7 linked regions of the Ovis aries genome follow. The protein of the gene in region 5 binds, or shares a complex with, the protein of the main gene of each other region. Links are inferred from orthologs where the notes say so. Each region holds a gene or a part of one and is shown on either strand. Other genes may lie near its edges.

Evidence for each region.
Region 1: CUL1 (region 5) and CCNF share a complex: the UniProt entries of both Homo sapiens proteins name them as parts of the SCF(CCNF) complex. The link is inferred for Ovis aries from reciprocal best matches to the Homo sapiens genes CUL1 and CCNF.
Region 2: CUL1 (region 5) and FBXO11 share a complex: the UniProt entries of both Homo sapiens proteins name them as parts of the SCF(FBXO11) complex. The link is inferred for Ovis aries from reciprocal best matches to the Homo sapiens genes CUL1 and FBXO11.
Region 3: CUL1 (region 5) and TRIM21 share a complex: the UniProt entries of both Homo sapiens proteins name them as parts of the SCF(SKP2)-like complex. The link is inferred for Ovis aries from reciprocal best matches to the Homo sapiens genes CUL1 and TRIM21.
Region 4: CUL1 (region 5) and FBXO10 share a complex: the UniProt entries of both Homo sapiens proteins name them as parts of the SCF(FBXO10) complex. The link is inferred for Ovis aries from reciprocal best matches to the Homo sapiens genes CUL1 and FBXO10.
Region 6: the proteins of CUL1 (region 5) and FBXL17 are in contact, whole or in part, in a cryo-EM structure (PDB 8UBT), measured with the Homo sapiens proteins. The link is inferred for Ovis aries from reciprocal best matches to the Homo sapiens genes CUL1 and FBXL17. Residues at the interface, in NP_001357589.1 of Homo sapiens: Thr54, His143, Arg147, Asp150, Glu151; in NP_001156787.2 of Homo sapiens: Pro325, Ser327, Leu330, Asp358, Phe359, Gln360, Asn387.
Region 7: the proteins of CUL1 (region 5) and CAND2 are in contact, whole or in part, in a cryo-EM structure (PDB 8VVY), measured with the Homo sapiens proteins. The link is inferred for Ovis aries from reciprocal best matches to the Homo sapiens genes CUL1 and CAND2. Residues at the interface, in NP_001357589.1 of Homo sapiens: Val31, Thr33, Arg34, Gln35, Met37, Lys39, Tyr42, Met111, Asp112, Trp123, Arg127, Phe128, Val132, Asn181, Leu184, Glu188, Gly193, Glu194, Thr195, Asn197, Thr198, Arg199, Ser202, Gln206, Val209, Glu210, Gly212, Leu213, Asn214, Lys221; in NP_001155971.1 of Homo sapiens: Asp21, Phe22, Phe24, Met25, Asn61, Gly62, Glu63, Gln65, Asn66, Leu67, Glu100, Gln101, Asp104, Asp156, Asp160, Leu189, Ala190, Lys193, Arg194, Glu276, Gln280, Asp343, Asp344, Trp349, Lys350, Arg353, Glu389, Ser492, Ser493, Thr494.

The regions. Positions count from the first base shown.
Region 1 is NC_056077.1:2,458,248-2,462,580, reverse strand, and holds the start of CCNF (cyclin-F), read right to left. Parts: upstream 2,986-4,333; 5' UTR 2,920-2,985; coding exon 2,904-2,919; intron 1,860-2,903; coding exon 1,705-1,859; intron 558-1,704; coding exon 451-557; intron 1-450. UniProt on the Homo sapiens protein: Substrate recognition component of a SCF (SKP1-CUL1-F-box protein) E3 ubiquitin-protein ligase complex which mediates the ubiquitination and subsequent proteasomal degradation of target proteins.
Region 2 is NC_056056.1:76,631,288-76,635,129, reverse strand, and holds part of FBXO11 (F-box only protein 11), read right to left. Parts: intron 3,545-3,842; coding exon 3,417-3,544; intron 3,284-3,416; coding exon 3,199-3,283; intron 2,781-3,198; coding exon 2,636-2,780; intron 1-2,635. UniProt on the Homo sapiens protein: Substrate recognition component of a SCF (SKP1-CUL1-F-box protein) E3 ubiquitin-protein ligase complex which mediates the ubiquitination and subsequent proteasomal degradation of target proteins, such as DTL/CDT2, BCL6, SNAI1 and PRDM1/BLIMP1.
Region 3 is NC_056068.1:49,570,955-49,575,533, forward strand, and holds the start of TRIM21 (E3 ubiquitin-protein ligase TRIM21), read left to right. Parts: upstream 1-1,659; 5' UTR 1,660-2,362; intron 2,363-2,399; exon of another isoform or gene 2,400-2,531; intron 2,532-3,027; 5' UTR 3,028-3,063; coding exon 3,064-3,471; intron 3,472-3,963; coding exon 3,964-4,059; intron 4,060-4,579. UniProt on the Homo sapiens protein: E3 ubiquitin-protein ligase whose activity is dependent on E2 enzymes, UBE2D1, UBE2D2, UBE2E1 and UBE2E2.
Region 4 is NC_056055.1:51,222,577-51,226,418, reverse strand, and holds part of FBXO10 (F-box only protein 10), read right to left. Parts: intron 3,373-3,842; coding exon 3,236-3,372; intron 1-3,235. UniProt on the Homo sapiens protein: Substrate-recognition component of the SCF (SKP1-CUL1-F-box protein)-type E3 ubiquitin ligase complex. Mediates the ubiquitination and degradation of BCL2, an antiapoptotic protein, thereby playing a role in apoptosis by controlling the stability of BCL2.
Region 5 is NC_056057.1:113,128,017-113,131,858, reverse strand, and holds part of CUL1 (cullin-1), read right to left. Parts: intron 3,761-3,842; coding exon 3,597-3,760; intron 225-3,596; coding exon 62-224; intron 1-61. UniProt on the Homo sapiens protein: Core component of multiple cullin-RING-based SCF (SKP1-CUL1-F-box protein) E3 ubiquitin-protein ligase complexes, which mediate the ubiquitination of proteins involved in cell cycle progression, signal transduction and transcription.
Region 6 is NC_056058.1:104,498,029-104,501,870, reverse strand, and holds part of FBXL17 (F-box/LRR-repeat protein 17), read left to right. Parts: intron 1-1,105; coding exon 1,106-1,248; intron 1,249-3,842. UniProt on the Homo sapiens protein: Substrate-recognition component of the SCF(FBXL17) E3 ubiquitin ligase complex, a key component of a quality control pathway required to ensure functional dimerization of BTB domain-containing proteins (dimerization quality control, DQC).
Region 7 is NC_056072.1:56,293,912-56,298,481, forward strand, and holds the end of CAND2 (cullin-associated NEDD8-dissociated protein 2), read right to left. Parts: intron 4,075-4,570; coding exon 3,910-4,074; intron 2,587-3,909; coding exon 2,479-2,586; intron 1,566-2,478; coding exon 1,338-1,565; 3' UTR 618-1,337; downstream 1-617.

The sequences.
Region 1 (4,333 bases), on a different chromosome or scaffold from region 5:
TGACCACGGGCACACTGTGTGGCTCCTGGCCCCTCTGGCTCTTCCTCCAGGTCTGTCGGAGGGGGTGGGATCAGCCAGGGAATGTAATGCACTAGGATTCAAACCACATGGTCCTGACCAAAGTAAGGGAAATAAGAAGTTTCCACGTGCAGGTGACCTGCATCTGAGCCACGCGGGATGGGTCACAGCCGAAGCGGACCTTCCGGAAGCACCACTGTGACTAATGAGTGGCAGGTCTGAGCTGGGGGTGCGGATGACCCATGACCATGCTAGAAGTCATGTGACTCGATGGGTGAGGTCTATATGCTCAGTCACTCCCTGGGGGATATGGTGTTGGCAGAGGCCTACAAGCAGAAGGAAAACCATGGCCAGGTCCAGCCCTGAGACAGACTGGCACGGCAGGGAAGGCCAGGAGTGAGAGGAAGCCCGGCTGCTCTTGGGTGCAGATACCTTTCAAAGAGCTTCAGGTTCCCCGGAGAAGGCCACAGCTCCTGGAAGCTGGCGCATGCCCACACGCTGGCATGGTTGTCCACCAGGTACTTCAGGTGGGAATGTACCTGAGGAACAACAGGAGTGGGGTGGGGGGTTATCAAGGGACTACAGGGAAGGCCCACTTCTGGAGCTGTTGAAGACAGGGTTAGACAGACATAGGATCTCCTGTCTCCCTCTGACCCTACCAGTAAGGCCTCCTGGGCTCTGTGTATCAAACTAACTAGCAGTTGCTTTGAACAGAGAAAAGAAATCAGACACAACTTTCTCTGTGGTTCTAAAGGTGGGGACAGGTCCTGGAAGTGGGGGTAAGCACCAGGCTGAGAAACAGGATATAATGCTATATACTTGCAACGACCAGGGAAACCGACTCTAGGGCTAACGGGTAGGTCAGAAATCTGTTTTGCTAGTGGGAGCACAGCTGGAATCTGGGCGGTCAACGGGGGCACTAGCAAGCATTTTAAGTGCAAAAGCTCCCACTGCCATTGGAAATGGCACTTGCAGATGTTATGAACACAATGGAGGCAGGTTTGGGAGTCAGACAAATGGGTTCTTGTGGGTGTTCCCCCACTAATTTGCTGGATGCCCTTGGTTAAGTGGCTCAGGGTGAGGCTGCAGTTCTGATGTCTGCACAATAAAGCCCAGAGCCCCTTTCAGCACTGGATATTATATGAGATTTGTCCTCATAAGGGCTTCCCTGGTGACTCAGACAGTAAAGAATCTGCCTGCAATACAGGAGGCCAAGGTTCAATCCCTGGGTCAGGACGATCCCCTGGAGAAGGAAATGGCTACCTACTCCAGTATTCTTGCCTGGAGAATCCCATGGACAGAGGAGCCTGGTGGGCTACAGTCCATGGGGTCACAGAGTTGAACACAACTGAACAACTAACACTTCTACTTCACACCATCTTCAAGAACATACTCTTTTTCTTCTTAACACTCTCCCGTATCTTGAGGGATTCAAATTTCACTGCCAGGAAAAGGTACTTTCTCTGTTAAAATAAACACTGCAAAGAGCGGACTCAAACCTTGCTGTCCTATGTTTTTGCTTTCCTGTCGTCAGAACAACCTCAAACGTCTACTTGCCAACATCACCGTTGGGGATCATCTACCCTCATCGGTAGCCAGAGTTTTTGTTCTGACATTTGAGACATGAAGCCTTCGTGGTAAAATCAACAATGCCAGGGTTGACACTGTGTTCATCTGACAACTTACAGCTCGGACAGCGAGGATATCTCCAACAGAAAGCCATTTCAGGATATGAAAGAGCGCATCTTCAGGGAGATTCAAGATTGTGAGGTTTCGAGGTCTCCTCCTTATTCTCCGCTTTGAAGGATAACAGAAACACTTGGCACACCTACAGTGGATCACTTAAGAAAACAAATCAGAATGGTTTAAGTGATGTGTTGGAAATGAACTGTGATATGAAAAGTTACATCTGAACATGTTTTAACAGTTACTGGTCCTCTGCCCCAGCCATAGTTACAGTCCCAAAGATTAAATAAAGAAGCCGTAGTGGTATAAGAGACATCTTCATTCATTCAAATTATTCGATAAATGTTTACAGTGAGTAGTAATCATGTAAGCTGGCCATTGGGAAACCGTCTGACCCAGAGCCCAGATAACAACGAGGAAGAAAGGAAGAGCAGACAGTGTTGATGATGATTAGCCAGGGAGACGCCTGGACTCTAGCTGATTTCTTTGCTTCTATTTGCACACATGACTAAAACATGAAATGTTAATAAGGATTTGAACAATCAGGTTTTCCAGTTCAAATTCAGAGGGTCCACCCTGCAGAGAAGCCAAGGGTGGACTTGGAGGGCAGGCCAGTCCCAGCTCTGTGGATGTCAGAGCTGTCCCGCCGGTCTCAGGGTCCTCTGAGACCCTGACAGGGGGGTCCTTCCAACTTAAGCTCCAGCAACTCTTTCCTCCCTCCAAGCAGAGGAGCTTGTGGCAGAAGGTGCCATTCCTGACGCTTCACCCGGTTCTTCATCCGCTCCTTCCTCCAGTCCCCACGGGAGGTGGCTGCTCCACCACCGGGCAAGCTCCCTGCTCAGGGCGTCTTCCTGCCCTCTCCCCTCGTTCCTCACCCGGGCTTCCCATCAGTAATTAACCTAATGCGAAAGCCGAGCGCATACGCAGCTCGACCAATCCTCGCCTTTTGCCCTATTATCCTCACTCCCTTGCCCTAGGACAGCCACGGTATAACCACGGAAATTCCTCGGCGGCGCTCACGGCCCTGCACAGGTGGTGGTCCCCTCGCGCCGCTTTCTCGCGGAGCTGGGCGCCGCTGGGTATTTAAACCGCGCGCCGGGTAGGCGCCGTCGGGACGATCCGAACCCCGGGCTGAAAGGCTCAAGCGGGCCCCACTCAGTCTGGAGGCCACTCCACCGCGCCCCGCGCCCCGCGCTCACCGCCTCCGCTCCCCATAGCCGTCGTCGCTGCCGTGGCCGCCGCCGCCGCTGTAGCCGCCAGACCCGCCCGCGGGCCCAGAGCGCGCCTCCCCACGCAGGCGCAGACCCGCCTGCCTCCCGCCTGAGTTTTCAAACGCGCCGGGCGTTCCCATTGGCCCACCACGGGGGGCGAGCGCCACTACCCCACCGGGCTCCGCCCCGAGCCACGCCCCCTCGGCATCGGGCGCCCGCGACTGGCTGCTCCAGGATGCGAATTCGAACGCCGGCTGTTGATTGGTGGAACCTGCGCGGCCGCCCCGCCTCCCAAGCACTGGCTGGGGTCTGAAGGAGCGCGGCTCCGGGGCAGTCGGCAGTGGAATTCCTGGTTTCCCTCCGAGCCGCGTTGACCTGCCCTATTCTGGGATTCGGCCTTGCCGCTGAGTCGGCGGCAGAGATCCCGGCGACCAGAGCCCATGGCGCACAGTGGGTTGTCAGTGAAGGTCTGAGCGGACCGGCAGCGCTTCCGAGCCAGGGGTCTCTGAGCGCGGACCCCGACGCGGTCTTCGACCTGCGTGGACGCAGGCGAGCGGGCCCCCGCGGGAGGCACCTCACCAAGGCTGCCCCCTGACCTTAGTGGCCTGCACCCTGAGGCCGAAGGCCCTGCCTCCCGTCCTTGCTTCAGGCGAGGAGACCCTTGGTTCTGTCCGTGCCGCTGTTGGTATAGATCGCAGGGCAGAAACAGGCCTGGGTGATTCATTCAGCGCGTCTGACTCCTTCCCTTGAAACGCGGCTCAGCCTGGACCCCTCCATCCCTCCCAGGGCAAACCCTCAGCGTGTCACCTGGGCCTTGTCAGTCTTCACCATCTCCTCGCGGTCAATTGGGAGCCCACTAAAACAGAAGAGCACGCCTGCTTGCTTTAGTGGCTGCAACACTCCGTTCACCCAGGTATTAGGCAGTGCCCACCCGGCCTTGTCTTTCAGGAACCAGCTCTCACCCCACCTCCTCCGTGAGACATTCTGACAAGGAAAGAAATGCAACTTCTGGGAGAAGTGCTTGATGGCCAAGGACATAGTGGTTTTTCCCAGAGAAGCCAGGGAATCTGGGTCAAGGCTCTCTTCTTACACTCTTCCCAAGGCATCAAACTGCTCTGTGCCCACACCCCTCACTCACACTGCTGTCTGAACTCCATCAGGGTACTGGTTCTGTGCTCAACAGCTGAACACACACAGGACCCAAGGTGCCAAGCCTCCAAGCCAGTCTGGAGTAGGAGACAAGTGAACAGATGATCACAGCGTGGCTATGAGGTTCCAGGGGTGAGGAGGTGGGGGTGGTGCGTGCAGAAGAGGAGTGGGTAGAGCAGAGCAAGCCTGGGGCCTGCTCCAACCCGAGGGGCGGGTCCTCCAGGCCTGCAGGCTTTCAGCCTTTCTCACACACCTGTGTTCCTACTGGC
Region 2 (3,842 bases), on a different chromosome or scaffold from region 5:
GCTTTTAACTGACAAATAGCAGAAAAAGTACTTCCTTTATTGTTTTAAATAAGTACTCAGATGGTGGCTCAGATGATAAAGCGTCTGCCTACAATGCGAACCTGGGAACCCAGAGACCCAGGTTCAATCCCCGGGTCAGGAAGATCTCCTGGAGAACGAAGTAGCAACTCACTCCAGTATTCTTGCCTGGAAAAATCCATGGACTGAGGAGCCTGACAGGCTACAGCCCATGGGGTCACAAAGAGTTAGACATGACTGAGTGACTTCACTTTCTTTCTTATAGTTTTAAAAACTGCCTGGACTGATAACCAACATTTGTGATAAACAGGTAACTGGGAAAGGAAAGATATATCCATTTGAATGCAGAGTTCCAAAAAACAGCAAGGAGAGATAAGAAAGCCTTCCTCAGTGATCAGTGCAAAGAAATACAGGAAAACAACAGAATGGGAAAGACTAGAGATCTGTTCAAGAAAATTAAGGATACCAAAGGAACATTTCATGCGAAGATGGACACAATAAAGGACAGAAATGGTATGGACCCAACAGAAGCAGAAGATATTATTAACAGAAGAACTATACAAAAAGATCTTCATGACCCTGATAACCATGATGTTGTGATCACTCATCTACAGCCAGACATCCTGGAACGCCAAGTCAAGTGGGCCTTAGGAAGCATCACTATGAACAAAGCTAGTGGAGGTGATAGGATTCCAGTTGAGCTATTTCAAATCCTAAAAGATGACGCTATGAAAGTGCCACACTCAATATGCCAGCAAATCTGGAAAACTCAGCAGTGGCCACAGGACTGGAAAAGGTCAGTTTTCATGCCAATCCCAAAGAAAGGCTATGCCAAACAATGTTCAAACTACCGCACAACTGCACTCATCTCACATGCTAGCAAAGTAATGCTCAAAATTCTCCAAGCCAGGCTTCAACAATACAAGAACCATGAACTTCCAGTGATGTTCAAGCTGGATTTAGAAAAGGCAGAGGAACAAAGGCAGAGAGAGATGGGAATACTAGAGTATTTGACCTGCCTCCTGAGAAATCTGTATGCAGATCAAGAAGCATCAGTTAGAACCGGACATCAAACAACAGACTGGTTCCAAATCGGGAAAGGAGTATGTCAAGGCAGTATATTGCCACCCTGCTTATTTAACTTATATACAGAGTACATCATGCAAAATGCTGGGCTGGATAAAGCACAAGCTGGCATCAAGATTGATGGGAGAAATATCAATAACCTCAGATATGCAGCTGATACCACTTTAATGGCAGAAAGCAAAGAGGACTCTTGATGAGGGTGAAAGAGAGTGAAAAAGCTGGCTCAAAACTCAACAGTGAAAAAGTTAAGATCATGGCACCCAGTCCTATCACTTCATGGCAAATTGATGGGGAAACAATGGAAACAGTGAGAGACTTTATTCTGAGGGGCTCCAGACTGCAGCCATGAAATTAAAAGACACTTACTCCTTGGAAGGAAAGTTATGACCAACCTAGACAGCATATTAAAAAGCAGAGATATTACTTTGCCAACAAAAGTCTGTCTAGTCAAGGCTCTGGTTTTTCCAGTAGTCATGTATGGATATGAGAGTTGGACTATAAAGAAAGCTGAGCACTGAAGAATTGATGCTTTTGAACTGTGGTGTTGGAGAAGACTCTTGAGAGTCCCTTGGACTGCAAGGAGATCCAACCAGACCATCCTAAAGGAGATCAGTCCTGGGTGTTCAATGGAAGGACCAACATACTTTGGCCACCTGAAGGGAAGAGCTGACTCATTTGAAAAGACCCTGATGCTGGGAAAGATTGAGGGCAGGAGGAGAAGGGGACGACAGAGGATGAGATGGCTGGGTGGCATCACTGACTCAATGGACAGGAGTTTGGGTAGGCTCAGGGAGTTGGTGTTGGACAGGGAGGCCTGGTGTGCTGCACTTCATGAAGTCGCAAAGAGTCGGACACAACTGAGCAGCTAAACTGAACTGAAAACCACTGCCGATGGTGACTGCAGCCATGAAATTAAAAAAGCAGAGACATTATTTTACCAACAAAGGTCCATTTAGTCAAAGCTATGGTTTTTCCAGTAGTCATGTATGGATGTGAGAGGTGGGCTATAAGGAAAGCCAAGTGTCGAGAATTGATGCTTTTGAACTGTGGTGTTGGAGAAGCCTCTTGGGAGTCCCTTGAACTGCAAGGAGATCCAACCAGTCCATCCTAAAGGAAATCAGTCCTGAATATTCATTGCAAGGACTGATGCTGAAGCTGAAACTCCAATACTTTGGCTACCTGATGGGAAGAACAGATTTACTGGAAAAGACCCTGATGCTGGGAAAGACTGAAGGCGAGAGAAGAAGGGGATGACAGAGGATGAGATGGTTGGATGGTATCACTGAGGCAATGGACATGAATTTGAGTAGGCTCCAGGAGTTGGTGATGGACAGGGAAGCCTGAAGTGCTGCAGTCCATAGGGTCACAGGGTTGGACTCGACTGAGCGACTGAACTGGAATTTATAAATATTCTAATTTTCTTCTATTTAACTGTAACCATCAACTCACACTCCAGCCTTCCTACCATCCTTTAGCATTTGGGGCAGTAAGTAATATATCTCAAGATACTAAGAAATAAATTTTCACTTACCATAAAATTGGATCATTAGCAAGTTCACTGAAGCGTTTACACACACAAGCTGCTCTACAAAGATCCTGTTCCAGCAAATACGAGAAGATTTTTAGAACCACTTCATCTGGCAGTTTCTCCTGAAGATACTGTTCAGCAGGTGCTGCTATAAAAAGATTAACAAACAGAACATAATCTGTCATGCTACCAAAGGCTTTCTCATTATTTAAAGAGCACAATTTTCATTTTGTTAAATGAAGAGCTTTTATTTTTTGATGACTATTATTTTATAAGCATGTGCTTTCAGAGATGACACATATTTCTTTTCTTTTCTCTTAACAGTATTCTTTTTTTTAGCTAGTATGTACCATTTCAGTAATTGGTTACAATAAATATACAAAAAATATTTTTATACAACAATTACAGTCAAAGATGGAGAAGGTCAGGGTTCTCAGGTTTATTCTGTAACTATTGCTTTCTCAATCTCAAATGTGTAAATAAACACTTAATTTTAACTTTCTGTTATCAAACAAAATTTAAAAGAACTATTTGACCCTATTCCTTAACTTTCTCAAAGGAAATACCTGATAGATCTTGTGATTTTCCAGAAACTCTTGCACGTTTTGCACGATGACCAAAAAAGTTTTCTGTAGTTGAAGTTGAAGCACCCTTCAAAAACAAAATGAAAACTAGTTAAGCATGTATTTTTACCCATAATCATTACTTCTAAAAAATGATGACAGTCCTGTTTGTTTCCTAACAATTCTTTCATTATACACACAAAAACAGACATTTAACCTACCTCCATACTGCTCTTTGTAGGACACGCTGTTCTTTTTGGCAAAAGAGTTTTCCTACGAAGTTGGTATGGACTATTTTGTGCACCAGGACCGGATTCTTCTGCAACCATATCTGCAGGTACATCATCATCTGTTATAAACAAAAATAATATGAAAATGACACCCATTAAAAAAAAAAAGCCCTATGGATTCAGTAAACTTACAAAAGACTTTGTAATATATATATATTTTTTTGGGGGGGGTACAGTTTTTATACAAAATTCCAGTCATCTGGATAACCATTTGAGAAGTGTTGGATTTCTATTTCATTTCTTAGCTCAAAATAAATTTCACAATGCTTACCTACAATAAAATAAATAAATAAAATCATGAAAAGAAAACAAAACTATTTTTTATAATGTGAAAGTGGGAAAGTTCTTTAAAGGTAT
Region 3 (4,579 bases), on a different chromosome or scaffold from region 5:
TTGTATTCCTACTGCTATAGAAACCTGTACATATAAGACCAACTCTGAGCCTGATTTTTCCCTATTTCTAAGAGAATCTAGGCAGTCTTTTAGTGGCATGATAATGACATTGAACCAACAGCAATTTATCCTCACAAAATAGCTACTATACCAGAGACAGATTCATTTGCCATCTTATATTGCTTCTACCAGCACCACTGTTTTTCGATTTACAACATCAAGGTCTCCAACAACATCACTTACAACCAAGAAACTGATTTTACAGTCAAAAAATTCTGATAATGGGGTTGCACTATGGAATGCAGTGGTCTTACAATGTACATCATCAACCAGAAAAAGATGGTCCAATAAAAATATGAGATGCACTGCTGAAGGCTCAGGTATGGCAGCAGTTTGGAAACCCCACTCTATGATATAAGAATGTTGTACCATAAATTCTGGTGCACATCTAAGATCAACAACTAATAGGTGATGGTATTTTTTATAGCCATTATAAACACACTCTTCAGAGAATAAAGAAGGGAGGTGGTTGCAGCTCCTATTTCCCTCAAACTAGTAACTCATTTACAGATCATTTTCTTTCCATCCCCCAACACAGGGCTCAGCCTTGTTCTAAGGGTCTAGTAAAGAAAGAAGTTCTTCCACCAGAGTAAAAACTCTGATTCTTATAAATAGGAATTTGCCACTACTCCCTGGCTCTTTGAGGTTTCTTGTGCTTGCTGCTGCTGCTGCTGCTGCTAAGTCGCTTCACTCGTGTCCGACTCTGTGCGACCCCATAGACAGCAGCCCATCAAGCTGCCCCTGGGATTCTCCTGGCAAGAACACTGGAGTGGGTTGCCATTTCCTTCTCTGATGCATGAAAGTGAAAAGTGAAAGAAGTCGCTCAGTCGTGTCCGACCCTCAGCGACCCCATGGACTGCAGCCTTCCAGATTCCTCTGTCCCTCGTATTTTCCAGGCAAGAGTCCTGGAGTGGGGTGCCCTTGCCTTCTCCGTTCTTGTGCTTAGTGGCTCAGTTGTGTCCGACCCTTTGAGACTCCATGGACTGTGGTGAAGTATACAACTGTGAACGTATTTAATGCCACTGAACTACACACTTGAAAACGGTTAAGATGGTAAATGTTATACGTACTTCACCATAATTTAAAATAATAATAAAACAACCTGAGAAAGTCCCTGGCTCAAGGATAAGTACACAGTTGTTGCCTCAATAAATGTCAAGTCCCTTCTTACCACTCACTGGTGTGATAATGCGCTGAGGTACTGTGGAATAAATTGCTCTCCCCCTGATGTTAAAAGAATATCAAGTCTCCTGAAAAGGAATTGTTTTTGGAAATAGGGAACAGAAGATGGCCTTTAGAGGAGACCTCCAGGCACCCCTGTCCATCCAAACCTCCTTTAAAGCAGCTCCCACACGAGGGCACAGCACGTAGGCCTGCATGGCTCCTCCACGCAGCAGATACGATGCTTCACTCTATTACACAATGAGGACACGGGAGGGAACGCAAAGCAAGGACTAAAGGCTGCGGAGCTTTCGCTCGCCCCAGCCTCCCAGAAGCTCCAGACTCTGGCGGCACCTCAACCCCTCCGCCTTCCTCCTCCCTTGGCCCCGCCCACTCTCCTCCCGCTCTGCCCGCCTCCCTTTCAGATTTGCGGTGGACAAGGAATCGAAAGTGAAATAAGGAAACGGCTGCCATCCACTGCGTCTCTTGAAAAGGTGAGTGAACTTGGCTAGACCGAGGTACCCCAGCTCTCCCTAGGGGACCTCTCTCCCCTGCCCCAGGTCTGAAGTGCCTCATCCAAGCCGTCCCCACCCCTAGAGATTTCGATCTCAGGTTTTCTTTCGCAACAGGTCTCCCTCAACCTTAACCCAGCAGTTTTTCCCCTGCAGCCTGGGAGGAGGCTGGGCTGTAAACCTGACTGGGATGTCCCCTGGAAGGAGCTCGGATTGCTCTGCTTCCGCCGGCACCTGAGCTGGGAAGAAAAACCAGGGAAACTGGGAGAACCAGGATGGCAACCTAGCTCAGGGGTGGTCCGGGAGCCCGGTGTGGGGGTAGGTCCGCGATCCCTGAGACTGCTGTCCCCAAAAGGCTCCCTCTGGAGGTGAGAGAGACAGGGTTGCTTAGGATATTAGAAAACTATGGGTCTGCGCCCTAGAAGAAACAAAGGCGGGGCCAGGTTCAGGGTAGCTGAGAGAAGAGCCCAGGAAGTTCTTAATAAACCTCACGCTTCTGTGTGTATGCACATACATATATACACACATATACATATGCGTGTGTGTGTGTGCTCAGTCGTGTCTGACTCTTTGCGACCCCATGGACTGTATGTAGGCCGCCAGGCTCCTCTGTCCACGGGATTTCCCAGGTAAGATACTGAAGTGGGTTGCCATTTCCTTCCCCAGGGGATCTTCCCAACTCAGGGATCAAACCTGCTGTCTCCTGTGTCTCCTGCATTAGCAGGTGGATTCTTTGCCACTTGCACCACCTAGGAAGCCCATGTACTTACGGATATACGTGTATCCTTATGAAAATATGTAAGCATAAATATAAATATTCTTATATATATTCATGTTACCGATGATTAGATAGATACCAATAACTCCTGCCTATTGCAAAGATTAATGAGAATGTATGTGAAGCATGTAGCACCTGGCACATGGAACGAGCACAGTCAATGGTCGCTACTGTTAAGATTAGCTTCTCAACAGAGTAGAAAACCAGTGGCCTGAGGCAGAAGATCAATAGGTAAAGCCTGGACTCTGAGCGGTTAAGCAGAGATGAACATGATGAAAGTCGAATTGTAAGCAGCTGTCTCTCAGGTTCTCAACAATATTTGCTATCTCTTGGGGACTCAGTGTCCCCTTCTGTCTGACTGGATCAGTGACCCAGACTATGGAAGAGGAGCACTATTCAGGTTGAGGTCCTTGTCTTTTCTTGTTTTCACTCCCTCCAGTTCACCCTCTCTCGTGGTTCCCTTTTCTTACCTGGCTCTTCTCTTCCGTCCCTTTCCTCTTCTCCCCTCACCGCAAGATCTCCCCAGCACTACCGAAGAGGAGCATCACCCCAATGGCTTCAGCCGTACCCTTGACAATGATGTGGGAGGAGGTCACGTGCTCTATCTGCCTGGATCCCATGGTGGAGCCTATGAGCATTGAATGTGGTCATAGCTTCTGCCAGGAGTGCATCTCTGAGGTCGGGAAAGAAGGAGGTAGCGTCTGTCCTGTGTGCCGGCGCCACTTCCTGCTCCAGAATCTCCGGCCCAATCGACAGGTAGCCAACATGGTGGACAACCTTAGGAAAATCAGCCAGGGTGCCAAGGAGGGCCCACACGGGGAGCTGTGTGTGGTGCACAGAGAGAAAATTCACCTCTTCTGTGAGGCAGATGGGAAGGCCCTTTGCTGGGTGTGTTCCCAGTCCCAGAAACACCGTGATCATCCCATGGTCCCTATTGAGGAGGCTGCTCAGGAGTACCAGGTGAGTCCTCAGCACAGAGGCAGGAACAGGTAAAAAGGAGATGGGGCCCTGTTGATGGCTTTGTTCCCCAGAGCTGGAAATGGGAGAGAGTTACCTGTGGGGCTGGGGAAAGAATAGGGGTCTCCTGCCTTCTATGTCTTATTTAAGGGGGAAATGGCAAGCTCAGCACAGTTTTCTCATTCTCACAGAGCAGGGATGTGCTATGGGAAAATGCTTCAAGAATCTTCTTCCCTTGTGGCCTCCTGCTTAATTAGGAACAAGCAGTGCCCCCACCCTTTGTACACCAACCGTGTGGCCCTATTTTGTAAGAAATATCAGGCTTTTTCCAAAACCTTCCCATCCACAGAGTTCCTACCCCAAACAGACTCTAGTCCTTCCTTGTCCTCTGCACTCAGCCTCTTCTAAGAACCAGTATGATCTTCCCCCCACTTCACACCACTGCACCCTACTTCTTGACCTGACTGGGTATCATCTTGCTTTCGTTCTCTGCAGGAAAAGCTTCAGGTGGCACTAAAGAAACTAAGAGATAAGCAGGAGATGGCTGAGAAGCTGGAATTGGACATTGCAATGAAGAAAGCATCCTTTAAGGCAAGAGTCATATCCTGAAGGGAATCTTAGATCTGAAGCCTGGGGAGGGTCCAGCTATGCCAGTCCCTATATCTCACTCCCCAAGAACCAGCTGCCCCATAGGTCTCTTGATGGAGGGGATTAAAAGAGTGTGGAGATCAAAAAGAGCTCCCAGTCAGATGGAGAGAGAGTCTTAGGAAAAGGTGCTGAGGGACAAGATATATTCTAATGCTCCTGCTTCTTGAGCCCAGTCTCTGGAGATGACAGCCCAGTCTCTGGAGATGGCCTCAGAGTTTGGGACAGGGGAATGCCAGGAGAGATGCCCAATGTCAAGAAATGACAAGTTGTCAAGAAATGACAGTGACTATGAGAACCAGATTTAAGTGAACCATAAAGGCCTAAGATGGGCTTCCCTAGTGGCTCAGATGGTAAAGAATCTGCCTGCAGTATTGGAGACCTGGGTTCAGTCCCTGGATTGGGAAGATCCCCTGAAGAAGGGAATGGCTACCCACTCCAGTATTCTTGCCTGGAGAATCCCATG
Region 4 (3,842 bases), on a different chromosome or scaffold from region 5:
AAGGCAAAAAACAAAAACAAAAAACCATAGGTTATGTAACTCTTACCAGCAAAAAAATATGCTCAATGGCTTGCCTTATTGAGGTCACATCAGGGACCTTGAAATTCAGGGACCTCCCACAAATCCCTGTCCTCCATCACAAAGAAACATAAAGGAAAAAAGCACAACCTAATTCTCTCAAAGCGACTGTTTTATTCAAAAATACTTTTTACTGAAGTCTATTCGATTTATAATGTTGTGCCAATCTCCGCTGTATAGCAAAGTGACTTACTTATACACATATAGACATTCTTTTTCATATTCTTTTCCATGATAGTTTATCACAGGATAGGATATTGAATATAGTTCCCTGTGCTATACAGTAGGACCTTGTTGTTTATTCATTCTGCATATAGTAGTTTACATCTAAATCCAGAATTGTTTTTAGTGGGGGAGGCTCTTGGCTTGCGGGATCTTTGTCAACAAAGGTCTTCAGCAGTAAGAGCATGGAGTCCTAACCACTGGATCACCAGAGAATTCCCTCAAAGTGACTGTTTTAAAAAGCCTAAAATAAAATAAAATAACAACAACCACCACGAAAAAGCCAAGACACTGATCTGCTTGTAATATTCCTTGCTCGAAACCCTTTAACAGCTCCCCAGCACCCACAAGGTTTGGGTATATGGCTGCAGTAAGTAATTATCATAAACTTGGTGGTTTAGAACAATACGAATTTATTATCTTCCAGTTTAGGAGGTGAGAAGTCCAAAATGGGTCTGACAGGGCTAAATCAAGGTGCCAGTAGACCTGCCTTTTTTCTGGAGACTCGGAAAGGATCTGTCTCTGACCTTTCCAGATCCTAGAGGCGGCTCAGGCTTCCTGGTCTGTGGCCTCACTCCTCTGGCCTTGCCTCTGTTGACACATTTCCTTCTCTGACTCTCCTGTTCTCTCTTCTAAGGACGCTGTGATTACACTGGGCCCACTTGGATCACCCAGGTGCTCTCCCCATCTCAGCACCCTTAACTGAGCCACATCTGCAGAGTCTCTTCTGCCTTGCAGACAGTCTATACACAGGTTCCAAGGATTAGAAAGTGGATAGATTTGGGGGGCCATTATTCTACCTACCACACGTGGTATTCGAGTTCCTCCATGCTCCAGCATCAACCCTACTTTGTAGGCTGACCTTATGCCCAGACATACCACACTTTTCCCACCACTTTCCCAGGTCATACTCCAAATTTCACTGCCCCAGGCTTGTAATGCCTTTCTGAGGCCATAAAATCCTACTTGTCCTTCAGTAAAAGTAAAGTGTTAGTCGCTTAGTCACATCCAACTCTTTGCAACCCCACAGACTGTAGCCTGCCAGGCTCCTCTGTCCATGGAATTTTCCAGCCAAGAATACTGGAGTGGGTTGCCATTCCCAGGGCATCTTCCTGACCCAGGGATTGAACCTGGGTCTCCTACATTGCAGGCAGATTCTTTACCATCTGAGCACTGCTCAAATGTCAGTGCCCCATGTGCCCTGTCCTGACTCAGTGGCAATCATGACTGGTTTTCTTCTGTACCTGCATGAAGACCTATAAAAATGCTCACTTTAGTGAGTCCTTCCCTTATAGCTCCCATCTGTAGAATGACAGTGAACACTTCACAGAACAGAGACTGTTCATACACCTTTATACTGCTAACCCCCTTATATGGAGGAAACACCTAAATGTGTGTTTAATGAATAATATGCACACATACAAACCCATACTCTTAAGGCAGTAACGTAAAAGATGGGTAAACAGCTCCATAATCACGTGATCACTAATTGTTTTTAGTAAGCTGCCTACTGGAGAAGGAAATGGCACCCCACTCCAGTATTCTTGCCTGGGAAATCCCATGGACAGAGGAGTCTGGTGGGCTACAGTCCATGGGGTAGAAAAAGAGTCGGACATGACTTAGTGACTAAACAACAAACAAAAACAAGCTGCCTACAATAGTGAAAAAATAGAAGCCTAACAGTAATAGGACTGGTTCAAAAATGAGGGAGTATCAAAACAACGGAATGTTCTGAAACTGACCAAAGTGATAAATACAAGATCCTGCAACAACATGGAAAAGTACACACAGGATAATGCAGGGAAAAACTCTCAGAATATATTTGCTGCACAGTAATTCCAGTTATTTTTGTAAAGTGCAGACATAACATGTGAGTCTTCCACTCAAAACCTTTAGTGATCCCCCCTTATCTAGACAGAATAAACTCCACCTTTCCCACTGGACTACATAAGGCCTTCCTCATCTGGCCCAAGGCTTTCTAGCACACTGCCTGGCAGAGATGGACTGCCACGGGGATATAAACACTCAGGCTGCAGTGACCACAGGACCCAAGATGATCCAGGACAGTCCCAATTTGAGATGTTTTACAGCAATGTCACAACTTGTGTGAGGCTTTTTCTCAAGCCCCAGAGGACTGCGTGCTCCCTGACTCTGCTATGTTCGGCTGCCTCTGCTCACACCACTTCCTTCTCTAGGAGCGTCTACTCCCCAGCTCCACGAGGGGCCAAGCCCTACCTGTATTTCAAAGTCTTAACACCAATGCCAGCTCCCAAATGAGGCCCCCCACAGCCCCCTCATCAGAATAACTCCCCCTCTCGGTACCACTTTGACAGCATTTATCACAGCCTGCACCACGTGATGGGTGGGAGGGCAGATCCACAGCCCCACTACCTACAGCTTACACCAGTGATGGATCACGGCATGCTTCCATGCTGAGGTCAGATGTAGCCTCCAATCTTAACACAGCATCCCACATAGCCACCAGCAACTGATCAGAGTCGTCAAGTGAGTTGAAATCTCTATGCCATATAGGATAATAATGCTAAGATAGGACTCAGCATTATTTCTGGACACACATGTCCTTTTCCAGACTAGAGTAAGCTCTGAGGGAGGAAAGTCTGCCTGGTTTACCTTTGTTATCATTATTAGAAGTGCCCAATAATTCTTGCTGAATAGAATGGCCCCACATAATTAACTGGAAGGGAACACAGACACAAAGGCACAGAACACAGATAATATAACACAGAAGGCTGTGTTACTGAGGTGGGATTGTGGGTGAAGTCTGTCTCTTCTCTGCTTGCATGTATACAGTTGCTTTAGTAAACAAAAATGGTTTCCAATGAAGCAAAGACAGGAAGCAGGGAACCAGAGATGAAAGAAGAAGAAAGGGACCATGGGTGAGCAGGGTGGTCTGAGTACAGAGGCATGTACATACCTCACGACTGGATTTCCATGGTACAGGATGTAAATGCCAGCCTCCTTGTTTGAAAAGATTTGATTGTTCCGGATGATGCCTTTCCCATTGCCCAGGACAACAATGCCAGAGCGAAGGCCGTGGTGGATCTGGTTACACTGCAGGTGAACAGGAGACACCACAGAAGGCAGATGAGACATGCCGGTGAGCAGCAGAGGGCTCAGTGCTGCCCCACGGCAGGGCCAGGATGCAATAGCAGAAGAAAACATGTCACTGCGGGATCCCAAGCACAAAACAAAGGGAATGGACTGGGGGTGGCCCTGCCTCTCTGCACAGGTGCACACATGGATACCTGTCAGAGAGACGCCCAAGAGAGGACTCTTGGGATGTATTAACAGTTACATCCTGACACTTAATGCTGAGGGCTCTTGCCTTCATCTACAATGCATAGTACTGAAAATTTCTGAGCCTCCAAAAAGCATGATCATCATCAAGGCCACATCACCCCAGGGCCCCGGGGGCAGAGCCCCAATACGTGGGACATTGACTAAGCACAGGCCTCAGGGACTGCTCAGGGAAGGGAGGGGGACTGTGGAAGGTGTAGCCCCAGGGAGCTTAGGTTTCCCAT
Region 5 (3,842 bases):
CACAACTTCATGATCACAGATCGTAATCAACATCCACGCGCTCCGAATCTCCGCGGCTCACCCTCGTTTTTGTCGGCGTCCAGCAGGTTCTGGAACTCTGTGTGGAAGATCTCCAGGTGCTTCTCGATGAGCACCTGCTCGCACTTCCTGGCGAGCTCGTCCTGCGTGCTCTCGTGAAGGTACACCTGGACCCTGCGCTGCTCCTCCAGCAGACGAGCCTCCGCCTGCGGGAGTGAGCTCAGGTCAACAGTTTGGACTTGTGTCTTTTTAAAACAAAACCAATGACAAATTCAACTCGCAATCCTGCCCTACCTAGTATGAGGAAGAAAACAAGAGGAGGGAAGGGGTCCTTTGACTCAGGCTGGGGTGGGGAGGGAATGCTAACCACAATAACCAGTCCCCGGTGCGCACCACTTCCTCTGTAACCTGTATCTTTGTTTCCAAGTCCTCTTCAAATGACTTCAACGAGGTTATCATGATTAACCATCCGAATGTCTTTATATCAATCTCCTTCCTACAGATACGTGCTGTTTCACACTTTCGAGGGTAATACCCTTATCGATACTCTGCAATTTAAGACTTACAGACTGTTTATTTCTGGAACTTCTCATTCCATATTGTCAGAGAGAGGCTGACTGTGGGTGACTGAAACCGTGAACAAGGGAGGACTACCGACCACAGGCCAGCCTCCTTTCACTGTGCTCTGGCACTGGTTTTTGCTTTGAAATAGGAACTAAAGGTCTGTGGTGACCCTAGTTGTGCAAGGCTGTCAGCACCATTCTTCCAAGAACAGGTGCTCACTCTGTGTGTCTGTGCTGCATTTCCGTTATTCTCAAAATATTTAAACTTTTCATTATTATTATTTGTTAAGCTGACCCTTGGTCAGTGATCTTTGATGTTGCTATTATAATTGTTTTGGCATAATTTAGCAATAAAGCATTTTCAAATTAAGGTATGTACATTGTTTTTTTTCAGACATAATGCCATTCTCCACATTTCACAGACTTCATGACCAGGGAAACCAACAAACCCAAACTCCTGGGTATGAAGTCATTAGGTTTTAGGAGGGACAGTGATCTACATTCTCTGTTGATTTGACGGTAAATAAGCTCGTGATCACCACTGTCCTTGGCAGACAATTATATCAGAGTACAAATTCAAAAGGACTAAATAAAATTAAGCAAAGACTGTCTCTATTAATTCTATTAGGATCAGTATACAGGAAAAACAAAATGAAAAAATGGATCAAAAAGCAGTCAGCAAATTCATAACATATATTTTGTTTTTAAAACTTAAAAAAATGATATTAGAAACCTAGAAAGGTCAAGTATTCTTTGAAGGCTCACCACAGACTCAATCACAAGAGACAGAGAGTAAGATACACTGAAACTAACGTGGCTGAGGCTTGTTCCCCCGACACCATCAGTAGCAGGGAAGCACAGACTCTCAACTGTTTCCTCTGAAGGACAATGCAAGAAAAAGGAACACAGACCCCAGAGAATCTGTACATCTAGCCTAAACGAGCTGCTAAAAGGAGAGTAGTTCTTGAAAGTTGATGTTTTATCTCAAAACTGTTCATGAGTTTTGTATTTTACTTCCTAATAGTGTTCGAATATAAACATATTTTCTCAAGTTATAGAATAAAATGTTCCATATTTTATCCTGTGTACTATCAGGCATACACTGGAGGTTTTGATGCATACTCATGGCCAAACATCAAATAATACATAATAATGATGATGATGACGATGGTAAAATATCCCCATTTTACAGATGAGGAAACTGAGGAACAGACTTTAACCACCATTTACTAGGGGGTTAAAGTCACCCTTAGTAAATGGTGGAGTGGGGATTTTCAATTAGACACATAGCCCAGTTTGAGATGCAAGTCTACAGCTAGTAGTAACAGTAGCATTGTTCAGACAGTTAAATTCCAATTTTAAGCCCACAGAATCTCTACATGGTGGATTTTTCAAATGGAATGGCTGTCATGTTTGCTAAGACCCAACCAGATTTGGGCCAAACCATTAACCCAAGAAACCCCATTTAAGATGGCCAGGATGCAGGTAGCACATTCTCCCTTGAAGGCAGGGCTCAGACTGGGTTGAAACCATACGTCTATAAAGCGGATTTCCATGCACCAAAGCACTACCACCTTCCTCGGTGTGGACAGCAGGTAACTGCAATTCACGAAGAAGTCCATGAAATGAAAAGGCCTGAACCACACGTGTGGATCTGTATCCTGATAAAAGGCTACACTTTTAAAAAACATATACAGTTTTAAAAGACTTACCATATATTGTACAGTTCAATAAAAGATATGTTTATGAAAACTACACTGTAAAAATCAGTGCTTAGATTTAAAACTGATTGGTCAAGCAGCTGTTTCAACTCTCAATAAGCTGGTTAGCTTCCAGACTGGCACATGAAAGCTAACTTAACTCGTAAATACACAAAGAACTATCACTTTCCCAAGTGTAATAGTTCTGTGGGGTTCCACTTCTGTTAGGTTTTGAAGGACTCATCTGTCAAGGACTTTTAACTTCAGACTTGTAAGGCCCACTTACAATTACTATCTCTTATGGGAAAATGTTCTAGGAACGTCATGGACAAACTGAGGAGGACTTTATGTGGTTAGACAGGGGAGCTGTTGCTCTCCTTGACTTCTGGTCTCAGCACATGGAGAAAGTGACTCTGCAGTGACTCTGCCCTCCAAGTGAACAGAGACTAAAGGGAGAAGCGGGTGTCCGACACACAGCCCCGGACCCCCTGGAAGTCTCCTTGCCCGTTGAGGTCAGGGGTTGGCAAACTATTGCCTGGGGGCAAAGTTCTGCTGGAAGGAAACTTGCACTGGAGCACAGTTTCGATGTTGCCACGGCTGCTTTTGTGCCATAATGCAGAGCTGAACGGTTGCAGACGAGACCACGTGTGCACGAGGTCTAAAGTATTTACCATCTGGCCCTTCAAGGAAAGTCTGCTGACCCCTGACTGAGGTCACTCCTCTGAGCTTAAGTCTGGGACACCGGTATTTCCGAGAAGGGAAGCTAGAATACCTCCCGCAGAACTGTACTGTGACATCACTTGATGTAGAAGATTCATGATGCAGAGACCAATCCCCAGTCTTCTCATCTAAAATTTCAATCCTGTTCTTTCAGAAGGACTTCTCTAATACACACTGGAAGGTTGTGTTAAATAGATTTTTAGGAGAGATCTCAGAAGCAAAAAAGTAAAAAGCTTAAAGTTTGCAGATAAAAATTTGTTTCTTCAAATACTATTTTTTCACTGATGTAAGACGGTGGCTGCCATTAGATACACCTGTACATTCTAGGAGAGAGTGTTCAAACACGTATGTCATTCAGCTGTAACAGTTACATCCTCCACACAGTAGGAGAACATGAGCCACGATTATTAAGTTAATTTATACAAGCTCCTTAGTGAGTGGGGAGAAACCATTTGCACCTGCTACAAACACTACCGGTTAACAGTGCCCAAGACATGACTTTGAAGGAAGCTGCATATATAAGCATAAAAAGAGTAATTTACTTGAGCAGCAGGAACTTTTAACTTAACCCTACTCTAAGTATGTTTAAGCTTACCTTTTTCATATATTCAGTAACCGGGTTCTGCTGCAAGAATTCGGTGCTCTCTCTGGTATAAAATCTTTCTGTGTCTGCCAGAAACTGACACTCAAAGGACTCTTTGTACACTGTTAGCGTGGGGCCCTTTGCAAAGGCGTCATCTTCATTCAGTCCCAGCTCCACTGGAAGTAAACAGAACTATGTTTCAACTGCTTCATATTTGGTTATATTTTAAGGAATATATATTTTACTTTAGGTGTAGCT
Region 6 (3,842 bases), on a different chromosome or scaffold from region 5:
AAGAGTTAACATTTATTTACACGAGTACTTCCTCTGCTCTGATCATTCTGGTCAATGGGAAAACATCGTCTGCTTTTCATGTCATAGGAGTCAGCTCATCCTATCTTAGAATGAGGAAATAATTAGCAAACAGTTATCATTCCTTTTCAATATTTGTGGCATCGTGTTCAGAGTTTTCCTCTACACACCAATGCACCGTAAACGTTGTCTGGCTGGAGGTCTTGAAATCTGTTTTGCTGTGCTGCAAACGTAGAGGTGTGTGTGTTTCACTAGAAGCCTGTAGCCAAGAGCCACATTCGCCGACTGGATGCTCTGACGGGGTGACAGGTTATGGAGCCCTGCAGTGATGTGTGGTGTACATCACAGACTGTGGGATAAACCTCTGTGCGTCCGTAGAGGTACAGGGCTGAACAGCCAAGCAGACTAGGGGCAGGGGTAGTGTTTGTGTGACCGGCTTCATCCCCTGTGTCAATAAGAGGAAGACTTCCGATACAGTGCGGACATCCACCATAACAAATGCTAGCGCCAGCTAAATTCAACTGTGTGTATAATGTCCTCTGAATTCCCAGCTGTCTCAAGAAGGACTAATGTGAAAGATGTTATATGCTCTTACATTTTATAGATCATGAACAGATGGGGGGAAAGTGTGCCAATTGGTAAAGAAATTCATATGCAGAATAACACACCTCAAAATGGTGTTTCGAAGGTTTTTCTTTTTTAAAATTATTAAATTTATCTTGGATAAAATTTAATTACTCCTTGGGGGTTTCCTGTAATATTATATGCGTAATTCATTTGAGTTTATGCCCTCTACAGATATGAATGTTTGGAAGTACAGGTAACCTTGTAATGAATAAAACTGATAAAAGGTTGTGTTCCAATAAAAGGGAAATTATGGAATGATTATTCACTTTGTGAAAGGCTCTGTCATAGGGCACACTTTCCTAAAGCATTTTAAATTGGATTACATTTAGGAAACATTCGTTTATACACAACATTTCAGGAACAAATGTAGTGAGGAAATGAGAGAACTACTCATAATAAGATAGAGATCCCTTCCGCTGCTGACGTTTGTGCTTCCTGTCTTCTCTGCCTCCCCTCGCAGCTCTGATAGCCATCGGGCGATACAGCATGACAATAGAGACTGTGGACGTCGGCTGGTGCAAAGAGATCACGGACCAAGGGGCCACCCTGATTGCACAGAGCAGCAAGTCTTTAAGATACTTGGGGCTGATGAGATGTGATAAAGTGAGTTGCCTGTCGACCTTCTTTCCTACGTATCCGTGTCGTTTACAGCTTGATATTAGATTTTTCTTCACTACCTGGGTATATATATGTACACATGCACGTACTTATGTTATTACAGGTATGCATGGGAAGCTGCCTGGTTTTCTAAACTAATCTGAGATGATTTTTGAATATCTCTGTTTAAAAATGAATGTTTGTGCTTATGCAGAAAGAAAACAGCAGTCACACACACACTTAACTTAGATTTTGGCTTCCTGTCCGCAAGTCCACGGACCACGATTAAGTGTGTTTGCGTGGCACACTGCAGTGCGTGTGGCTTAACAGTGAAATTCCACTCAGGTTCCAAGTTTCCTGCAGCAGTAAGTTGGAAGGCCCGCTGCCAGATGATGCTGCCGCAGTCTGAAGTGCTCACTGCTCAGCGTCTTTGTGTTCTGCCCCTCAGGGGGGCAAGAAAGGGCCAGTGAGGCAACATTAGTTGGGAATCCCCACACTGCAGATGCTGCTTTTCACACATGTCGAGAAGCGGTCCCAGAGGCCCCACCGATGGTCAGTGGAGCTGGCCAGAGGCATGAGCCTGAGTTTGAGAAGTCGGGCTGCGTTTAATAAAGATGATCAGAAGCTGCACTGATAACCAGGCATTGGAGACGCACTTTCCCCTTTGTCTCTTTTACGTTTTCCTGGTAACAAATCTAGGAGATGGTCTGTGCTGCGAAGGGGAGAAAACGGAGCTCAGAAGGACCAGACACTGGCCCCATGCCCCCCATCCAGGGTGGCACCCCAGATCTTCAAGCCTATGGCCAGTGCCCAGGGCCCACCGCAGGGACTGTCTCCAGAGAAGGGGGTGCTTCCTTGGAAAAGACCCACCTCAGCTACTCGCTCTGAAAATGTTGGCAGCTTGTAACAATTTATACACGTGTGCTGCTTTTTGTGATTGGTGATTAGGCACAATGTAGCAAAAGAGCCTGAAGCTAAATATATATGCCTCTCAAAGGACATGCAGTTTCTAAATGTAGCAAATTGGGGACAAATAAGAATGGCCCAAATTCTCTGTGCGCTTTGTCAGTTTTGTTAATTGACCTAGTTCTTTTTTCCAGATGTTTTACAATCCCAGCTTATACCAGACCTTTCCAGTTAGTCATGATTAGAGAGACTTTATATACTCAGCCCAGCCTAGAAAGCTGACTGAGTTTATTACTGAGCAACAGCGGAGAGCCCGGGGTGGCAAGTCTCTCTTAAATTTCACCACTAACTAACTTAACACTGCTACTAACCCTGTCACTTCGAAATGATTCCTTTTAAAACAAGTGAGAGTCCATAGCAGGCAGAGTGTTCTAGAAACCCCGAACAGTGACAGCAGAACTCTTCGGCTTCTGCCCGAAGGAATCGCTGCGCACAAACTGCCTGCGCAAGGGCAGGAAGAGGTGAGCATTCACAGCCGGGCCCCTGCGCCCACAGCCATTCACAGCCGGGTCCCTGCGCCCACAGACATTCCCAGCCGGGCCCCTGCACCCACAGACATTCCCAGCCGGGCCCCTGCGCCCACAGCCATTCACAGCCGGGTCCCTGCGCCCACAGCCATTCACAGCCGGGCCCCTGCGCCCACAGCCATTCCCAGCCGGGCCCCTGCGCCCACAGCCATTCACAGCCGGGCCCCTGCGCCCACAGCCATTCCCAGCCGGGCCCCTGCGCCCACAGCCATTCACAGCCGGGTCCCTGCGCCCACAGCCATTCACAGCCGGGTCCCTGCGCCCACAGCCATTCCCAGCCGGGCCCCTGCGCCCACAGCCATTCCCAGCCGGGCCCCTGCGCCCACAGCCATTCACAGCCGGGTCCCTGCGCCCACAGCCATTCACAGCCGGGTCCCTGCACCCACAGACATTCCCAGCCGGGCCCCTGCGCCCACAGCCATTCCCAGCCGGGCCCCTGCGCCCACAGCCATTCCCAGCCGGGCCCCTGCGCCCACAGCCATTCACAGCCGGGTCCCTGCGCCCACAGCCATTCACAGCCGGGTCCCTGCGCCCACAGCCATTCCCAGCCGGGCCCCTGCGCCCACAGCCATTCACAGCCGGGTCCCTGCGCCCACAGCCATTCCCAGCCGGGCCCCTGCGCCCACAGCCATTCCCAGCCGGGCCCCTGCGCCCACAGCCATTCACAGCCGGGCCCCTGCGCCCACAGCCATTCACAGCCGGGTCCCTGCGCCCACAGCCATTCCCAGCCGGGCCCCTGCGCCCACAGCCATTCACAGCCGGGCCCCTGCGCCCACAGCCATTCACAGCCGGGTCCCTGCGCCCACAGCCATTCACAGCTGGGTCCCTGCGCCCACAGCCTCTGGCGGAGGCCACCGTGTTTCTAGTCCAGACTCTAGACCTGTTGAGATCAGCACCCTCTTTGGAGCTGAATTTGGTACTCCAGTTAGTTAAGAAGATCCTTTCAGATGTATTTGCTGACTAGCATTTTGCCAATTTTCAGTAAGTGGAAGGATCCTTTTCTGCATAAATGCAAATTCGTCCAAAGTAGGGCTGTCACAATCCAGCCCACTGTCACCAGCCCAGCCCTGCCAGCCAGCGTCCTCAGGCTTAAGGCAGTTCAGGGCC
Region 7 (4,570 bases), on a different chromosome or scaffold from region 5:
GTTTGTGGTAATAAAAGCATAAAACCCGACCATCTGGCATCTCTCCCTTGGTTCTTACTCTTCAGGATGACAGCTCGCCTCAGATTGGTCTTCTGCCTGTTCTGCTCTCTGGAACCTTCTGTTAGGAAGGGGTGTTTGTAAAGGACCCATGATCTGCTCAGACCAGGGTAGGTTCTGAGACCCAGATGGAAGGACCTTGCACTTGGAGCAGGTAGTCATTTTTAGCCTCACTGTGTAAAGTTAGAACAGAAGTCACCCCGTGTGGTTCTTAGGAAGACTGAGGACAGTCGGGTTTCCCTTCTAGCTGCAGCCGTAGATCTCAGGCAGCAACAGCTGGAGTTCAGCTGTTCCATGAAGTTTTATGAACCATTTTTCCAACACATGGTTTAAGCAGCACAGGTCACGTGGGACAGGGCATGTCGCACTCTGGCACAGGACTGGGTTTAAATCCCATAGTTCTAGTAGATGGATGTCTCAGATTGACTGGGTCCTGTTCAAAACCTAATCTGACAAAACATTTGTTGAGTAAATTATTGGTCATTTCATTTCTCTGAAAGACTTGGGAAGCATTCTGACCGTCTTAACTACTGAGAAGAGGAATTGTGCAGAGAAAATAATGGTGATTCAGGATCTGTCCTTTATTGACCTGGGATGGCAGAAAATTCTTTGGCCTGACATTTACTGTTTCTGTGTCCTTGATACTAAAAAGTAAAGAGGACGGTTCACAAACCACCGGGTGACATATTTGCCGATTTGCTACATAAGAGTCTGGGGATTAGAAAAAAAATTACATCTTATTTCCTACCCAACCCACCTGGCCTTGCAAAACTGTAAAGCATTTTGGATTCTAAAGTGTGAAGAGCTCATAGAGGTATCTTGAGTTTTTCAGATGCCCAGCCAAAGCACTACTTTTTGGCAGATCAGAACAGGTGAAATAGAGAAAGGGGAGCAGGGGAGTGACGATGTCTGGGACAGCGGCAGGGAGGAAGGCCGGCCCCCTGCCTCCTGTGAGCACGAGGGTATTTCTAAAGACTGAACACTATGAGCAGGGACCCCTGGCTGGAGGGAGCCAGGCTAACCTGTGTGAAGTCACATCCATCTTTGTAGGAGGCCTGGAAGGACTACCACGCCCCCTCTGAATGACTGTCCTGAGTTAAAGGGCCCAACTGTTGGCAGCTCTGACAGAGCCTCTGAGTTGGGGTCCCTAGAGAAGGTGCTGGAAGCCCCGAGCAGGAGATGGAGAAAGGGCAGGAGTAGAGGCCTGCAGTGGTAGGGTGAGGCTCTGGCTTTGACTCTGGTGGGCCTCCCTACATGTTGGGGTAACCAGGGGGTGGGTGTTAGCTGAGTTCCATGGAGTCTGTGCTGGGAGCCGAAACAGAATCTTTCTGGATGCTTTCAAAGAGGGCAGCCAGCTCGGGGTTGGATCGAATTTGGGAGGAGAAGTCAGCCATGATGGGGCTCTTGCCCACTTCCGGGATGGTCAGCAGGGTGGCCACTGCCCTCATGGCCGAGCGCTTCAGTTCGTCTTGCTTCTCAAACTCCTGTTTCACAGAACCAGCTTTGACCTAAAGTGGAAATGATGAGCTGGTCACCTGTCATCTTCCCCAGCTCATGCCCCATCTCCTAGCTTCATTTACAGTGCTTAAAGTAGGCTCTCGGCACCGCTGGACTTGATGAATGGCTTGTTCTGACAGCCTGCTAGCTGACCCCTTCCCGCCACTCAAGTGCAACCCGTCCTGCTTACCAGCCCAAAGTTGGCTTGCCTGCCTTCTGTTGCCTTATCCCCACCTCGCCCGCCTATTCAGAGACTCTCAGGAATTTCCCTGCTGTTTATGGAATCAAGTCCAGGTTCCTGGTCTGCTCTCAGGACACTCCGTGACTCAACCCAGACGACACTCAGGCTCTTCCTGGTAGAGGTTAAGAGCTTGGCATTGGGGCTGGGCAGTGCTGGATTCAAATGGCTCTGCCCTTTTCTTGGTTAATTTGAACCCTTCCAAAACCCAAATTAGTTCTTGCATTTGGCAGGCATTTATTGGGTCCCCCTGGGTGTGACAGGCTCTTCTCAACGCGCAGCTTTCCGTGAGCCTTCTGCCCCAGGTCCTCCCTGGACCCTGAGGCACTCCAGGGTAACTGCCCACTAGCTAGCAATCAACCAGCAATTTCTAAGTGTCTGACTCAGTTTCCCCATTAGGATGTGAGAGGAGGGAGTCCACCGTGTTTAGTATTGCATGCCTGGTGGTACCCTGCACAAGGCCGGACACGAGCTAGGTTTGAATACCAGCTTTGCAAGTTACTGTGTAACCTGTCAGTAACCTCTCTGAACATTTGTTCTGTGTATAGAATGGTAAGAATAAGACAATGATAAGGACTGAAAGTGTTTCACATACCACCTGTATCTCCAGAGATTCTCGGTAAATGGTAACTGAACCATCTGCAGGGGACCTGGCAGGTACACCCAGAGCTGGGCAGGAGGCTTACCTTGGCAGTGCAGGTGGCCCTGAGGGGCTCGATGAGCCGGTCCACCCTCTGCAGGACGGGCACAGGACACAGGGTAGCCAGTCGGGCAAGCATGATGAAGGTTAGCATCTGACCGGGTGAAGGAGACAGTTCTTGGTGAAATAGCCCAGGACCGAAAAGAGCAGGCCCTGGGGGAGAGCAGAGGGGTGGACCTGACCCCCGGAACTCAGGTCCAAAGTAGCAGCCGGCCTGCCTGTCACCCTGATCTCCTCTGGCGCTCACCAAATACTGGCTGACTAAGGAATGCTTCTGTGCGTTTGCCCAGCAAACACAGATTTACAACTCCGGCTCTTAAGTGTGTGGAACTTTTGGGTGATTACCACTCCATTTATTCACTTTTGTATTGTCTAAACAAACACAATTAATGACTTGTCTTACATTGGTTTTTCATTACAAAAGGGATTCATGCTCATTGTATATATATTAAAAAGCTCCAAGAGGACAGAAGGTGAAAGCGGTCTGCCCCACAGGTAATAAAATGGCCAAAGTTTCACAACTCACTCTCCACCTGACAGTAGGTCTGGGCCACCTTCCACGCCAGCCCACAGTGTCAGGATCCCGTGACGGGAGGCACCCAGTGCACTGAGCCAACTCCCGGTGAGCATTTCCCAACTCCCAGAGAGCTGTGGAGAACCACCTCCCGCCTAAACCCTTGGAACGTATGTTTAGGGGTCAGTTCGTGGAGTGAATTTCACATTTTGAAATGTGCCTAGGGCTTCCCTGGCGGCTCGGTGGTGCAGAAGCCACCTGCCAGCGCAGGAGACACGGGTTCATTCCCTGGTGTGGGAAGAGTCCGCATGCCGCAGCGCAAGTAACCGGAGCTACAGCCACCAAGCCTGCGTTCCAGAGCCTGGAGCCACAGCCACTGAGCCTGTTCTCTAGAGCCCCGGAGCTGTGAGTACCCTACACTCTGTGCCCCACAACGCGAGAAGTCACCGCAATGAGAAGCCACACGCTCTAACCAGAAAGTAGCCTCCGCACGCCGCAACTAGAGAAAAGCTCGTGAAGCAACGAAGACCCAGGACAGCCACAAATAAATCAAGCGATAAATACATAAAGCGTTTCTAAGTTCTACTTTTTTGTAGTTCTGGCCAAACCAACCTCCCAAGGCCTTGCCCACTCCCACCAAAGGTGTGAGAACTGGGTTCTTACTGGAAAAGAACAAAGCAGGGGACTTCCCTGGTGGTCCAGTGGTTAAGACTTGGCCTTCCAGTGCAGGGGGTGGGCATGGGCACTGATCGGGGCACTAAGATCCCACATGCCATACTGTGCAGCCAAAAGTAAAAGAGAACAAAGCAACTACTCTCGTGGGGGTGCCTGGGGCGGGCGTGGGGGAGCCTGGGGCGGGCGTGGGGGACAGACGGGCAGTGGGTCCGGCGGGGGTCCTCCTACCCGGATGTCGTAGTGGTCCTTCAAGCCGTCCTCCACGTGGTTCAGGAACTCGCAGACATCCAGCTGGCCCAAGCAGCTCTCCAGCAGTGAGTACATGCACTCGAAGGCCGCCTTCCGCACATCCAGCCCATCGTCCACCGTGTGCTTAAAGGGCCCCATCTCCACCTGCAGGAGGGAGGGTGAGAGGAAAACAGGCTGAGGGCTGTGACCCCGGGGCATGGAGGACACCTCCCCAGGCTCCTGCTGTGCACCGCTCCCTCTCTCATTCAGTACTGTGTCCTGTCCCCAAATCATGCCTTAGACTCCAGTCTCCACGCCTGTGCTCAGCCTGCGACGCCTTTTTATAATGATAATAGTAATGTTCTAATGATAATTATAATCCACTGATCAGGTTTGCTCTGCCAGGCACTGTGCTGTCATCAGTCCCAGGAAGACTGTTACTATAAACTCCGTTTAATATATGAGGAAACTAAGGCTCAGAAATGTTAACTTGCCCAAGGAGACGAGCCCAAGTTAGTAAGTGGTTCAATCAGAATTAAAAATCCAGGTCTCTTTGACGTCACAACCACAAGGGTTTGCTTGTAATGGTAAACTCTACTCACCCCTCAAAGCCCACTTCAAATGCCTTCTCCTTTGGGGGAACTTTCCTAACCTCTCTAAA